2 linked regions of the Rhinolophus ferrumequinum genome follow. The protein of the gene in region 2 interacts with the protein of the main gene of each other region in a pairwise test. Links are inferred from orthologs where the notes say so. Each region holds a gene or a part of one and is shown on either strand. Other genes may lie near its edges. The genes, in order: CASTOR1 and ZC2HC1A.

Region 1 (8,148 bases), on a different chromosome or scaffold from region 2:
ATATCCTGATGGCACTGGGTAGGGATGGGGGAGAAGGACGATGAATGCTGCCTGTGCTAAAGACGCAGGACCCCAGGGCCAGGGGGCCTGACCGGGTCACGGCTTGGGGGTGGCTTGGGGGTGGCTTCTCCCACACTCCAGGAGAGGGCTCCAGCTGCAGCATTGGGACTTTTCCTAAACATCAGTGAAGGGCATGTGGGCATCTCAGGCTGCTGGGAACCCAGACACAGAACAGGGCACAGAGGTGCAGAACCCAGGGACAGGTAGAAGGTGGTGGGACAGACCATAGGGAACAATAATGTGAGGACGAGACTAAGTACAAATGAGGCCCACCTGTGGGAGTAGAAGAGGACATCGATGAGGGTGGTGGCAATGGCTGGTAGCGTCTCAGGGTCCAGCGTAAGGACACAAAAACGGTTCTGCGGGCTCTGAATGGGATGCACCGTGGGGCTGGGCCCTGCTAGGGAGGAATCCGGAGGTGGAGGGTGAAAACAGGACTATGGGCTGGGGTGCCCCCTGGTGGCCGGCCAGGGAGGGGCCTGGGCTGGGTGTACAGTCCTCTACAGGAACCTGCCTTGATTTTCCCAGCCTCACCTCCCGGTCTTGTGAAGCAATCATTGTCAGCTAGTCTCCCCCTACACACAGACTCACCCACACAAGCAAAGGGCCCCAGTGAGAACAGGAGCCCCCACTCCCCACCCAGGTCTTGGTGTCAGAGGGCACCCTCACCATGCTGAGCTCGGGGAAAGCCATTGCTGGAATCATCCCTGGCAACAGGCACAGGCTCCCCGCCCACCTCTCGATAAATGTCGAACTCCTGGGCCAGCGTGTGAATCACCACAGACAGGTCCTGCTCCCGCACCTGGGCCGCAGGGACATGGCACATCACATGAGTCCCCGGGCACCCATGCCCACCCTGCCTGACAGCGGCCCCGTGGGAAACTCACCAGGATGAAGTCTGTCTGGTAAGTGGACAGCATGAGCACAGATACGTGGTGCTCGGCCAGCGGTGCAATGACGGAGCGGGCGATCTTGGTGACCCCAGCAGCTTGCACTGCTGTGCCGCTGTGGGATGATACGTTCATCACCAGCCATGTGGCCTCAGCCACTTGCAGGAACTCGGATGGGGGCAGCTCTGTGGGCACAGGGCACATGACCAGTCAAAGCCTGCAGGGCTGGCCCCTGCCCGTTTCCCTACCTGAGCCTTGAAGTGCTCTACCAAGGTAAGGTCAGGTCTGGAGACTGGGGCTATCTCCCTTCTACAAGTTCTGCTCTCGACACCTGCGTGTATGCAAGGACTGAGATGTGCTCCAGCTTCTGTCCTGCCAGGGATTGAAACCTTCCAGTTGAGATCTGAGCTCCAGACTCAGACAGACCTGAGTTCAAATCCCAGCTTCACCTTTTACTTGCTGTTGACCTGGTGCAAATGATTCAGTCTCAGTTTCCTCATCTGTAAAATGGGATGACTGTATGTACCTCATTGCAGTGTTCTGTGGGTTAACAGAAGCTTTATACCACGTGACACCACGAGGGGGCGCCACCAGAATGGATTGGCTGGGGGGTGTCCTTTCCCCTTAACTAAACCAAACTTGGCTGCAGTACAAACAGGGAAACTAAGGCCTGAAGCAGTGCAGTGGGTGATGGACCAAGCTCCCGGTGGCTGGCCTGAGACTCCAGGCCTGTGAAGATGGGTCAGGCTGGAAGGAGTGGGAGCCAGATGTCAGCTCCATGGGGCCAGAAGGACCAGGCTGGCGTCCAGTCCAGAACAGGGGACCTGGGCCAAGGTGGCTGCTAATTGCTCAAACATAAGCCCCTCAGGACCCTGCCCTGGGCTGGCTGCCTGCTCCTGCATTCCTTCCCCAACCCTAAGACTCCTGGAGTTTCCAGACCAGCCCCGGAGGGAATGACCAGAACCAGGGAGGGAAGTCCAGGGGGAAATAATGGCCAGGGAGATATAACAGCCATAGGAACCCCTGATTCTTGCCAACAAGCATAATTGAGGGCCTACTGCTGGTCTGGGGCTGCTAAGTGGCCCTCACACACAGCCCATTTATAAAGCCCTTATGGGACCCTATTAAATCAGAACCCATTTTACATAAGAGGAAACAACAGCTCAGAGAGGGGAAGTGACTTGCTCAAGGTCACACAGCCAGTGAGTAGCGGAGTCAGGTAAGAACCCAGATCAAACTGCCTTCGAGGCTTCAGCTCTTGGGACACTGGACCCCAGCATCTGGTGAGAATTCCCCAAAGAGGGGAGCGCGACATCCCTCCCTAGCCCAGCCCCCACCTTTGAAGCCCTCCTCGTCCACCATGAGCGTGTAATCCTCGGGAGTCTCCGTCAAGCTGAAGAACTTGCACCTGGTTGGGGGTGGGGGGAATCTTCAGTCTGGGTTGGGCAGAGGGGGCAGGTAGACTTCGCTCCATCCGCCCCTAAAGACCCACGCCGGGCTCCTCCCAGCCCCCTCAAGCCTCAATTTTCTCCCAATGGCCGTGGGGTGTGGGACCCAACTTCTGAATAGCGAACTGTTTTCCGCCTCCTGAACTTCGCAGGAGCCCCCCGCCCCTCCATTCCAGGAGGGAGGAGAGGCTCACCCGCAGCGATAGCCCCGGGGCGTCGGACCTTGGGTCCCCTAGACCGGCCCCTCTGACCCGATGGGAGGCGTCTGGAAGAAACTCTTCGCAGTCGCCAGGAAGGAATACCCCCACCCCATTTGACACCACTCGAAATTAAGCATTGCACACCCACGGCTGTTTGCGCCTTAACTGGCCCCGGATAGGCGGCGGTCCCAGGGAGCGTAAGCACAGGCCGGATGGCGGCCGGGGGGTGGGGTGGAAGAGCACTCCCCGCCCGCTCCCGCTTGCCCCAGCTCGCCTCGTGGCGACTCTACAATCTCCCGACCCCGTACCGAAGCGACAGTGGAGCCCACCCCAATCTGTGCCCCGGAACCCGGGCGCGCACCGGCTTCGGCGGGGCAGGAATAGCAGCTTGATAAGTGGGTGCGTGTACAGCCAAAGACCGGGGCGGGCGAGGCTCAGCACCCGCACCCGGTGCTCTAGGATGTGCAGCTCCATCGCGGTCGGCGCGGACCGGACCCCGCCGCCAACCAGACCCAGGCCGCGCCGGGGGCGGGGCGGGGGAGGCGGCGCCGGAGGCTTAAAGGAGCCGCTCCGCGGCCGCTTCCACGCCGCCCGCTACTCCCCGAACCCGCCCAGTCCCTCGCCGCGTCCTGCTCCCTGACGGCCACGCCCTGAGGGACGCGCGGCCTATCCGGGGTGGCCACGCCTCCTTCTAACGCCAGAGCCTCACCCAGCTCCTCTAGTCCACCGAGCCCCGCCCCGGATGACTCCGCCCCTTTAACATTGGTTTAGTTTAGGGAATCACCAGCTGACCCCATCCCGGTCGAGTCCTCCAGACCCGGCCGGGCCGCGCCCCCTCTCCGGGCTCCGCCCATTCCACCGGTCGAGGCTGGGATGGGAGGCTTGCGTGAAATGTGGGGTTACGTCCTTTGGGCCCCCATCTGGGCCTTATGATTGAGGTCGTTGAGGCTTTGGAAGGGCCATGAGGTGAACCGGGGCTCAGCTGGGACCAGAGTGTTGCCCCCAAACCGCTGGGGCATGAAGGGGTAGGGGTGCGCTCTGCAGCCCTGGCAACCCTGTGATTCTCTTCCAATAAAGTATCCTGGTGCCTTTCTCCTTCCTCTCATAGAAGACTCCCCACTAGGGTCACAGAGATAGGAAGGGCCCCATCCACCTCTGTCTGAGCAACTTACTGTTGGGTAGGGCCGTGAAGGTGGTCAGGCCTAAGGCGGCCCCTCAAAACTAAGTGCTTGGGCCAGGAATGCCCAAGGCCCAGACTTCAGGGTAGTCAGATCTCAGACCTGAGAACTGAGCCCTGCTGAGGCCTCCCAAAGCCTGCGGCCATTAGTAGAACCCAGTCGGCCTGAGCACATCTAAACTTGCTTCATGCCCAAGGAGGCCCCCAGTGCTGGCAGATGCCCCAGATCTGAGGCTTGTTAGGACCAACTTGGGCTCGTTTCAACGTGGGGACTGGGTTCTGCTCAGGCCTCCTCAGGTTGAAGACCCCAAGGCTGAGCAGCCATCCGCACACCGAGGCTGCCCCTGTAGCAAGACCGAGCATGCTCTGGGGGACACTTGTCTGGGCAACACATTCTCAAGCTTCAGATCTGCGGCTTTGAACGGAGCAGGTTAAAGCAGGCCTGCACAGGCCTCCTGCCTGCTTAGGAGCCTCCACTGTAGGTGGGTGGATACGGGGCAGTGCCTTCCCCCACTGGACTCCGGCTCAGAGGGTTCATGTGGAACACTGTGCAGCTGCCACATCCTGGCTGTCCCCTGGAGGGTCAGGGGGAGGGGACCGTCAAAGGCTGAGCCCCTCAATTATCAATGATACAGTTGGGATGGGAAACCACAGGAGGGAGGGCTGGGAGGTAGGAAGTGGATGGCCTGGACAGGCTTATGTGAACTTTGACCTCCTCAGGCCTCAGTATCCCCAGCTGTACCAGGACAAGGTGTCCCAGGCTGAAGGCTTTGGGATGCCTGAAAATTCCTAGGGAGACTCTACTCCTCCCTCTCCTGTCCCCTCCCCCCATGGCACAGCCCAGCTTGGTGGCCTGCCAGGAACAGCCACTATTGTTTGACTGGAAAAGCTGCTTCCTCAGCAGAAGGGAGGGGTCCTCTCCCAGGGACACTCTGTCCGTACCCTCGCCAGTCATCAGGTTGTGACCATAGCGCCTGCCTGGACCCTCAATGACAGTCACCTGGCACCCTGGTCGGGAGAGGTAGCTGAGGGGCTCTGGGTGCAAATTTGCACCAGCTTCACCTTTCCCACTCAGCGCCTGTTTCTTCATCTGTCAAATGGGGATAATAACAGAGCGTACCCAATCAGCTGGTGACACAACCAGTCCCATGTGGCACGTTAAGTGCTCAGTAAATGACAGGCGGCCTTCTATCAAAGACCCGGACTTCTCCTCTCACGCTTCTCCTCCTGGGCTGAACATGTGAGAGCATTCGTGGTCTCCCCACCCTGGCACCAGCACCCAACCCAGAATGAACACTCAGAACCTTACTGGGGTCCAAAGTGGCATCCAGGCCAGGCCTTGAGGAGGAAGACCCTTAAAGAGCTCCTCCCCATCAGTGACGAGTGGGATCAAGGCTGCCGCTGGCGCAGACCCTGCTTTGCCCCAGCACTGGGCTCCGGCCCTGGTGACCCTTACCCATGGCAGATGGTGGGCACGGGGCACAGGGATGGAGTGAGGGGAACAGGGGCTGGCCCTGGACTTGACATCCCCCCTGGCAAGGATACTTCTCAGAGAGGCTCAGGCACCGGGGGTGGCACTCCCTTCCCAGTTCCTAGCTGCACACCAGCTCTCTACTCAAGCCTGTTTATTTCTGTACAAAACCATGTTTCTATTTACACAAAGAGCACCCCACCCTTTACCCCACCCTCTCCCCTCATGCCAGTGCCCTAGCCCTGGGGAGCAACCCCCCAGGAGGAGGGGCCTGAGTGAGGCCCTCACTTCTGCATGCCCCCGCAGGGCCGGCCCAAGCTCCATTCTGGAGATAATAAATAAGGAGGCTCAGGCAGAATCTGTGCTGGGCCCGCCAGACTCTACGCCCAGCGGCCAGGCAGCCGGGCCCCCCAAGCGCCCCCCCGAGGGTAGGCAGGCCCTGGAATGTCAGTCTGTGAACCATGTGTGTGTTGAGACCCCGCTCTGGAGGCCTGAGCTGCCGGGGTTACAAGTAGGTGTCCTCACTCTCCTGGGATGTCAGGCTCTCGTGGGAGTGGTGGTGGGCTGAATCCTGGGGAGCTGAGTCCTGGGGGCCTGGGTCCTGGTGGACTGGGTCCTTTGGGGGCAAATCCTGTGGGGGATGTGCATCCCCCGCAGCGGGCACCACCTTGGCTTGACTTGGGGTTGGAGTTTTGTCCAGCTGCCCACTCGCCTTCGCCTGCTTCTGCTGCTTCTTCTGGATCTCCTTGGGTGGCTTGGGTTTGCCTTTGGAGCCAGGGAGGGGGGCATCTGGGGGCAGGCGGATGGACGGTGAAGGTTGCAGGGTGGGCCGGGGGCCTGGCTCTGCCTCCAGGATGGCCTTAGCGCCATGCAGCCTGGGCGGGGAGCGGCACTGCAGCTCACCCCGGGTCTCCTGCCAGCGCCGCAGCTGGATGAGATGCTCACGCTCAATCTGGCGCTCTGTCACTGGCAGCTCTATCACCTGTGGGGGCGACGACAGACAGGTGGGCATAAGGAAGAACCTCCCCCTCTGCCTCCCAGCCAGGGCCGCTGCTCTGCCTCAGGCTCCCCCATCCTGTTACTAAAGGTTGAATGAAGGTCTGGTCCCTGAGGTGGTCGTCAGGCCAGAGTCGAGTACAGGTGAGCCAGGCCCTGAGACCCACTGCCTCAAGCTGCCCGTGCCGCATGGCTCCGCTTGCCTAACGGTGTGTTACCTAATTATAGCCCCTGAGAGACAAAAATCCACAAAAGAAAAAAGGGAAAATAAAGCCAAGGCCGTGGATGTGGTACCAGGGAGGAAGAGGGGGTGACTGGTTGCAGCTCCCTCTCATTCCCGAGTGGTTCAGAACAGGGAAGGCCCCACAGACCTAGGCCTCTCTACGCCCCCTTATTCACAGCGGGATGAGGTCCGCCCCCACCATCCTGGGCTGCTGTGCACTGGGCCTGGCACCAGCGACTCCCGCTCAGGGGCAGAGGGATACCAGGCTCCCCTGCAAAGGGCCCCCATGTCCCCGCCTCCCTCCGGGTGCTGAGGGGAAGGGGTGGGCCGCACCTCCTGGACCAGGAAAGCCTCCTGCATGATCTTGGGGCTGAGGCTCCGCAGCCGCTCGATAGTCTCGTACTGGCCCTGGCAGGCCTTGAGCTTCTCGGGGGAGCCCAGCGCGTGCTTCAGCAGCACCAACCCCACCCGGAAGATGATCTTGACTCCTGAATGGGGAAGGAGCGCAAGGGGGCCTTTAGGGAGTTGCTCCTGTGGGCTGGGCTTGGGGCAGGGGTGCTCCGCGAGCTCAGCCTGGTACCTTCGCAGAAGAACATGTCCCAGACGCGCAGCACGGAGCTCCAGGGCAGGGTACGGGTGAACGCGCACATGAACCACTCGGTCATGTAGAGCAGCGGGTCGATCTTCTGCCAGCTGAGGTGCTTGTGGGCCACGGGGGACACCTTCTGCAGCAGCGAGAAGAGGATCTCCCCATCCAGCTGGATCGCCTCCTGGGGGGACAGTGAGGCCATGACCATGGGCCAGCAGCAGCCAGGAGACGGACTATGCACGCCCTGGCCCCCAGCACCAGGCAGGCGGCCGGCCTTGTGCTGGGCGCTGGGATACAAGGATGAGCAGACAGCATGTCCTCCTCGTGAGCATGTAGTGAAAAGGGGCGGACAGACATGAGTCACAGGAGCAAAAAGACTGGGGATGGGGGTGGGGGGGAACTAAGTGCCCAGAACATGGCAAGAACAGGAACACTGGATGAGCACGTGCTGGAGATTCCACCTGTCAGGGTCCCTCCTCAGGTTGGTAGAGCGTGTAGGCCTTCAGCACACAGAACAGATCCTGCTGGCTGTGGAAAGGCCAAGCGTGGCAGGGATGACAGGTGCCTCTGTCACCTACTTCCCTCACCTGTGCCCCACTAGACCCTGACAGGTGGAAGCTCCCTGAGGGCAGAAAGAGGAGGGAAAGGAGGAGCTATCAGAGGAAGGAAGGGGACGACAGGGGCAGAGGTGTAAGCCTATGTCAAGGCCAGGGCAGGGAGGAACTGGGTGTTCTGGAGGAACGGAGATCTTCCGAATGGCCAGATGGCTGGAGGCTGAGATGGAGGCAAGAGCAGAACTGATGACGCTGGAGCCTGGGAAACCTGACCCTGGCAGGCGTGGGGACTTCAGCCTGAAAGCAACAGGAGGCTGGGAAGGTTTCCAGTGAGAGCAGGACTGCCTGTGGAGCGACAGGACTGGAGAGGCCGCAAACGGTTTCCAGCCTGGGGGAGGTCCCAGGCCGGGTCCGGGGCCCAGCAAGCACTCACCAGTTTCTCACTGTAGTAGCCGGGCAGGTACTTCTCACAGATCTGCACCAGGCACCAAAAGGCTTGCTGTGGGCGAGAGAGATGTAAGGTCTTGCTGCTGGGTGTTC
Region 2 (7,429 bases):
CCTGATGGTTTGTCACAATTGTTAATAACCACTTATTATGGTGTTATAAAAGGAACGTCAATGCCATACACACACACACACACACACACACACACACACACATTCCTATGTACTCCTACACACACACAAACACTGGACAAAATCTCCTTAGGGTTTATCACCTCTCATTTTACAGATGAAAATCTTAAGAGAGATTAGAACTCTCCCAAGTCTACAACTACTTCCATTGCCCTTAGATACACCTATAGGCCTATAAAGCTATATACATATAGCTTTAGGTGTAAAGAAATTAAAGGCTTTGCTCTAATTACCCACACAATGCAAGGTGTTCAGATACAGATTATACAAATTCATAAGCAATCATTTGCTTTTGAAATACAGTGTTTAGCCTAATAGCTCATTTCTTGACTATCCAGGAAGCATAAAGGTCCAGGAAGACCAAAAATAATATAAGTGACATAAGAGCTACATGGAAATAAAGTTGTAAGAAAGAGTATGATAACCTTCAATAGAATTTTTCAGGGGTTTATATACTTTCTAGTTTTACAATCAAGATTAACCTGGTAACCATTTTCAACTAGAAACATGAGTGTAATGCCAAACGGTGCAATATTTGCTCAACTACTACGACATGTTAAGCAAACTCCTGAAGATTTTCTACTGGATACTGAGATAATAATGTTTATTGGATACCTTCAAAGTACTGGACTTGAACTTCCAACAGGGCAAAAAAGTTATCTATCATTGTACCAATGTTTATTAAATAAAATCACAGATGAATTACTAAATGGTAAATTTAAGGCTCAGAGTTTTAATCTTTGCAAACTGACTTAACAGGGACTGATTTTAAAAGAGGAAAAAGAAAGAAAGGCACTGTCCTAACTTCAACAAAAAAACTCTGAGCTTTTATTAAACTACTTGAAATTACCAATATTCAGTTGTTTTGCTCTCCAAAAAGGAAAATGTTAACCTAATTCATTACAATTAAACATATAGTTAATGACAGCAACTCACCTTGTTAACAAAAAAAGAAAAAATCAAACGAAGAGTAAAGAGCAAGTACTGTTTAACATGCTGCATCACAAGCTGGGCCCATAAAACATGTCCATCAGAACATACCACATTACATCAGAATTCATGTATTTCTCCACCCATGTAATTGAGTATTGTAATAGGTTTCCATTACATTTTAAAAAGCATTCTTAGTAATATTTCAATAGTAATCTCTTGGCACTGCTAAAATATAAACTTCACTAAAACATAGGCTCAATGAGAGCAGGGCTTTGATTTTTTTATTTGTTGCTGCATCCCCAGAGCCAAGAATAGTGCCCATTACAAATAAAGTCATTTATCTAACAAGAAATATCTATTGAGTACCTAGTTTGTGTCAGACACTGTTTTGGGTGCTTAACATACGTAAGTGAAAAAATCAAATGAAGATCTCTGCCTTAGTTACAAACGTTGAATACAAATCTGCAGAGAGTGTTGTAAAGCACTTTGTGTGTATTATGATAACCTTAGGAGAATTCCAGAACCCATGCTCCTACCCACTATGCTATAATACCACGTTTCAAAGATTAAAAAAAAAAAAAAAAAAAAGCCGCTTCCAGGAGTCTTCTAAACAAAACTATCTTGAAAGTAGAATTACTATCATTACAATTCTTATTTCATAGAAACTTGAATGATGTGCCTAAAATACATTAAATAAGCAAAAAAAACAAGACCCACGTGTCATAAAAAGTGCAGCTGCCCACAAATAGAAAAGTATCAGAATTCTTGATTATCTATAATCTTCAAGGCGTTAACTAATGAGAACTTCACCTCGGCACAAAAGCATGAAATACTATCATGCTCATTATTCTATTGGCTTTTTGGTGAGCTTAGGTCACTGCAAAAAGTTACCAGTTACTACTTTTCACTTCATAACACAACCTGAAATAATTTATTCTCTAGCATGCAATAACGTCTAGTGGCTCAATGCCTCTGCTTATTCTAAATTCCACCTGAATCTATGTAAATTAGGAGGGGGGAAACAGCTAAATTGAGACAATAGATCTTTCAATTCTGCAGGCTTATTCTTCATCGAAGGAGTAACCATAACTTGAAAAAGAATCTGAAACTGTTGATGCCAAGGCTAGTTGGGTATTTTTTCCTTTGTTGTTTTTGGTCGAATGCTCTATTACACAGAATAAAATGCGCACAGAGAACAGAGAAAAGGAAAAAGCCTGGGAACAAAGCAAAATCTGGAGTCATGGTTACAGCAGAAGGATAAACCGAAAGATAAGGAATCAATGCTGGCTCTTCCTTACACAGTGGTGGTAAATAAGCCCTTAAATCCTCCTGTTAATCTATTGTCCCGGCTCTAGAGCTGGTCAGTGACACTTCCTTGGAAGGCGCTCTTGGCATCCTTCCGACAGAAGATGCTGTAGAAATGGAAAAACGGTTACATAGGGAAACTGGCCAAGGAAAGTGTGGGAAGCTCGAGGTTGGAGACACACCCTAAGGCCCCAGCAAACACTGAAGGTGGGGAGGCCGCGGACATTAATGGAGAGTCCACTTTGTAAGGAAAATCAAATCTGGCCAGAAGCTGTGATAGGACGCTCAGGAATCTAGCAAGACCTGAATATGGTCGCGAGGGACTTGCAGGCGTGTGCCAGAGGCAATATCAGGATCCGGGCGGCAAACCTCAGCCGAAGACCGTCCTAGGCGGGGATCCCCGCCTGAGGATCACTGGCCCCACCGCGTCGGGGGCTGTCCGGCTCCCGCCGACCGGGGCCTCCGGAGGCACCGCGTGGTTCGGCTCCGGAGCTGCCATCGCCTGCCTAGTACCGGTGTCGAGGGCCCCATAACTGCTACGGGCCTGCTCCAGTTGTCCGGCCCGCATCCCTTCACCTCCTCACCTTCCAGTCCCTCCATCGCGCCACCTACTCAGAATCTGCGAGACTCTTCCAGCAGCACCCGCCACCGCCCAGCTCTGGCTGTGGCAACCCGACCGCACCTCCCACCCGCTAACATCCCGGGCTCCTATTGGCCGACACGACGCGGGCGGGGCTTCGGAGGGGTGGGGCCTGGGAGGCGCGTCCCCAGTCGCCGCAGGCGCCCTGCCTCCTGGCTGCGAGCGTTCGCGGCGCTCCTCCCGGTAAACCCCAGCGCTACGAGGGCCTCCTGCCGCCCGACAGCGCCTTTGTTCCAGTGCGGCCTTGTTGGCCTCACACCTTATGATCCTGTTCAGACTAGCTCAGCACCTCAGGGGCTCCGCATCGCCAGTCCCTCAAGCAGTCCGTGCAATTCTTCTCCGTGGGGCCGTCTCTGCCTCAGGGCTATTTAAGCCAACAAGCAAAACAGCAGCAAGTCCTGCACACTTGTCTGTGGCACACTCTCCATTTTGCGCCCGTGGGTCACGTGACCTGACCTGAGTGTATTCCCTAGATTGTACGGTGGCAGCTTTCGGAGTTAAACCACCGTTTCCTCCCAGAAATCACACTTTCTGTTTGGGACTGTGGAACTGAGATTGCCCGGAGCACATGAAAACGGTTTCCTCAGCATGAGAGCTGGGGCCAAACGTGAGGGAAACGCAGGCCTCCGTCATCTTCATCTACCAGAGGGTTACCTTGGCTGTCTACTGTATCACCCTTGACCTCGAACAGCCTGCCAGCCTCCCCTTCTATGAGGTTATCCCCAAACCTAAGTTTGGTCAGGGAGCTACAGGGCGGAATTCACCTACACATGACCGGATGAGGCCTGTTTCGGTTAGAGTCCTAACTCATTGGGATGAAGGTGTGGACCCCAAAAGGACTCTATCTGCCAAAAAGGATGCGGTGGGGCTGCCGGATGGCTCAGTTTGTTAGACCATGAGCTCTGAACGACAAGGTTGCTGGTTCGATTCCCACATGGGCCAGTGAGCTGCGCCCTCCACAGCTAGATTGAAAACAACCAGCTGCGGCTGAGCTTCTGGAGGGGTGGCCGGATGGCTCAGTTGGTTAGAGGGCAAGTTCTCAACTACAAGGTGGCCGGTTCAATTCCCGCATGGGAGGGTGGGCCACACCCCCTGCAACTAAAGATTGAAAATGAAGATTTAACTGGACTTGGAGCTGAGCTGCGTCCTCCCCAGCTAGATATAAAGATAACACCTTGGAGCTGATGGGCCCTGGAGAAACACACTGTCCCCCAATAAAATTAAAAAAAACAAACACAAAAGGAAGCCTTGTGATTAGCCCTTGTGGTTAGCTGGGCCCAAATTCATAATTGGAGTCTAGACTTGTTTATGAAGGTCTCCCAAGCTTAGTATTGGGGAGAAGCCACCTCTTCAACGGTAGCTGTTCACCTGTATTGTATTTGCATCTTTACTGATCAATCACAGCTGCTCCATAACGACCTGCAATTTTAACCAATCAGGACAGTGCTATATGGACCAATCAAACTGCAAATTTGGATTCCTCATTTGCATTAAAATGGACCAATCAGGGATTGGGGCAGGCACTTTATATAAGCAGCCTCTCGCTTGTCTCTGGGGGGGCTAGTTTCCATTTACAGTGGAGGCTGCATTTCTCCGGTTTGCGACTTGTTCCTCTGAATAAAGTTTCTCCTTTTAATGCACCCCAGATTGCGGCCACCTGTTGACATGGGCAGCAACCTTTTGTTGACAAAGATAACTTCAAAACTAGCTAAAACCTTTGCTTAACAGTCTAAGTGAGTTCACGGGAACTAAATTTCTTTGACAATTTGATGTAGTGAAAAGCAAGCCCTATTGTTTGTTAACTCTAGTATAACTACCAGCAATTTATCAACGTTAATATAACTTCCATAACAAATCTTAACGTTACTTTTCTCATTACCCTGTTCAACTGCAAAGTCTTGACGTTATATCTAACTTTGTTCACTGTTAAAAGTATAACTCTTACAAACAGCATGCATCTTACAGTAGCCTTTAGGAAGCGAGAGTCCTACTCTCCATTCAAATGAGGATGTTATAAACAAGTAAACAAACACTTGAGGGGGACATCAGATATTAGTGGGAAGGTGTTCTAAGTGCACTGGAATGTGGTATGGGTCATCTCTTATCTACAGTTATTTAAGAAAAACTTCAGCCATGCCTGTGTGGTCTCTTGCCCTTCCCCTGGTTCTGCTCTGGTTGTTCTGCTCTGGTTGTTCCGCTCCTCTGAGACAGGAGATCCTGGCTGACTTAGCCACCGGGACCGAGTGTGGAAAGGGCGTTTTCCCTCAGTGTTGCTGGGACTAAGTTAGAACTGGGGTAAGAGGGGATTTTTAAAAAGAGCACTAAGGAGGGAAAAAAGCACATATAGAAACCCCAAAAATGGAGAGGCAATTTACTTTACAAATTACAAGTTCTTGAACTGAAGTCAAGACAAATTTGGACTTGGCTGATACGCACCTTATTTGCATTAAAGCTACATTAACAGCAAAATAATATTAATGATAATAACAAATTTAAAAAAATCACATTAGTGATGTTTTAGGTCTTTTTCATAGATTCACTTATTTAATCTTAAAAACAATTCTACAAATAGATACTATAAATTTCACTTTTTTAGAATTAGATTCTTCATTTTCTAGATCTCTCAGACTTTTTTTGTTTGTGGGTTTTGTTTTTTATTTTTTTTGCCAATATTTATACCACTAGTGAATGGCAGCTTGGATTTAAACTCTGGTTTGTCTGATTCTACCTATAAGGATTTCATGGGATTTCACTTTGCTTTTTAAGTGCCTCAAATGTAAATCCAAATGTTCCAATATGTTGTTTTAAGGTATAACTCACTACTGTGAATCTTAATTCTCTAAACCATGCTTGCTAATTTCCTCCTCTACAGGTATTGGGCTCTCTGCACTTTTATGCTACAGGTACCCTGGCTCCTGCAGCTTTTTCCTAGTCCTGACCCCTGGGTAAAGAGGACAGTTTCTTATCTGCCTTCCTAAATTCCTTCCTCTGCCTCCTACATGCCTGAGCGTCTCTTTGGTCATGGCGCTCTATTCTGACTTTACTTCCTCTCTGACATATTCCATTTTTCTGATGGATTCATTCAACAAATATCTGTCAAATACTTATAATGTTTCAGGCTCCTTTCATTACTAGCCAGTTACCAAAATGAAGAAACCTCACTTTCTTCTCTTATGTGTTCTTAAGCTCTTATCTGTTCATAATTATTTTAACTGCCAAGTTATCTTTTAGCTGATGATAACATTCATAGATGAATATGAATTAGAGATCTTCCCACCTCCTTACACAAAAAAGAAAGCAAAAGTTCAAAGATGTTTACTGAGTCAATCCAGATCCCACGACTAGCAAGTAGCTGACGTAGATATTGTAGCCTTTTCTTTTTACATTATATTTCCAATTCTTTCCACTTTGCATTGCTTTCCATTCAGTCACCATTCCCTGGAGCCAATATCTTTTCTGCACCTTCCAAAGGGCTGAGTCAGCTACACATATCTTCTTGTTTCAAAGCTCCAACCTCCTGTTTTTCTTACACAAAGATCAATTTCCCTTTTAGAGACCTTTGGCTCTCATTCAGATTGTTTGCAGAGCACAGCTGAATGAGATTTGAATCTCAGTGAGAATCCAACTCAGTTTATCAACTGCACTGTGGAGGGCATCTTTTCCTTTCACAGCCCACAGAGGAATAACCCACCACAATTTAGTATATAAAAATGAACTCATACATTTAATTATCATAACAAAATGATAATTTTCATCAAAAACAAAGGAAGGATATTTCCCTTAAAAGTGGGAGAAGGAGCTGTTGAACAGTTGTTCTAGATTGAGGAAGCACATTCTGAGTTGGCTCTTGTTAGCTTTATTTTGTAGATTGAAGTATAAAAAAAATTATTTAGGTGTTCAGGGAAAACTTGGTGATTGTCCTGGAGAAGAAAACACCGAAAGAAGGAAAAATAGAGGAACCTGAAGCAAACTTCATCCCCTTCATTGATTGGAAGGCTACTCCATTCACAGTGTGATGGCCATTGTTCTACCTTTTTCTCTTCTAGTTCCAAAAGAAACTCCAATTCCAAAAGGAACCTTTATTCTCCTCCACTTTCACACCTAATTCCCAGCTGCAAAAGGATAATTGTTTTCAACCTTCAGTTATGATCCCATCTCTCCATCCCTTGCCACCACAATTTCAAATCTCAACTGGAAATCTCTGAATCCAAATACTGAGATACTCCTATGTACCCAGCACGCTTCTAGGCCCAACAGGAAGCTCCAGAGAAGTCTCTCGGAAGCTAACAACTACTAGAGAAAGCCCTGGGGAAGGCATGATACAGAGCAAAAGAGAACAATGTAGTCACTATGTGATTAAGACTTAGATGTTGTGGTACAGATTATAAAAATAATTGGTTTCAGGAAGACATTTACATGAGTGGAACCACTTGAAAGAGAGAAGTAGAACCTCAAATTGTGTCTTCAAGGGTG

What was found.
Region 1: the proteins of ZC2HC1A (region 2) and CASTOR1 interact in binary tests that used the Homo sapiens proteins (3 or more experiments, as listed by UniProt). The two-hybrid records come from large-scale screens. The link is inferred for Rhinolophus ferrumequinum from reciprocal best matches to the Homo sapiens genes ZC2HC1A and CASTOR1.

What each region holds. Positions count from the first base shown.
Region 1 is NC_046308.1:19,490,066-19,498,213, forward strand, and holds the start of CASTOR1 (cytosolic arginine sensor for mTORC1 subunit 1), read right to left. Parts: upstream 3,186-8,148; 5' UTR 3,073-3,185; coding exon 2,960-3,072; intron 2,359-2,959; coding exon 2,288-2,358; intron 1,136-2,287; coding exon 948-1,135; intron 863-947; coding exon 730-862; intron 461-729; coding exon 334-460; intron 1-333. Other genes in the region: TBC1D10A (TBC1 domain family member 10A), read right to left, coding at 5,752-6,228, 6,799-6,953, 7,046-7,235, 8,042-8,107. UniProt on the Homo sapiens protein: Functions as an intracellular arginine sensor within the amino acid-sensing branch of the TORC1 signaling pathway. As a homodimer or a heterodimer with CASTOR2, binds and inhibits the GATOR subcomplex GATOR2 and thereby mTORC1.
Region 2 is NC_046297.1:5,762,852-5,770,280, forward strand, and holds the start of ZC2HC1A (zinc finger C2HC domain-containing protein 1A), read right to left. Parts: upstream 3,018-7,429; 5' UTR 2,917-3,017; coding exon 2,901-2,916; intron 1-2,900.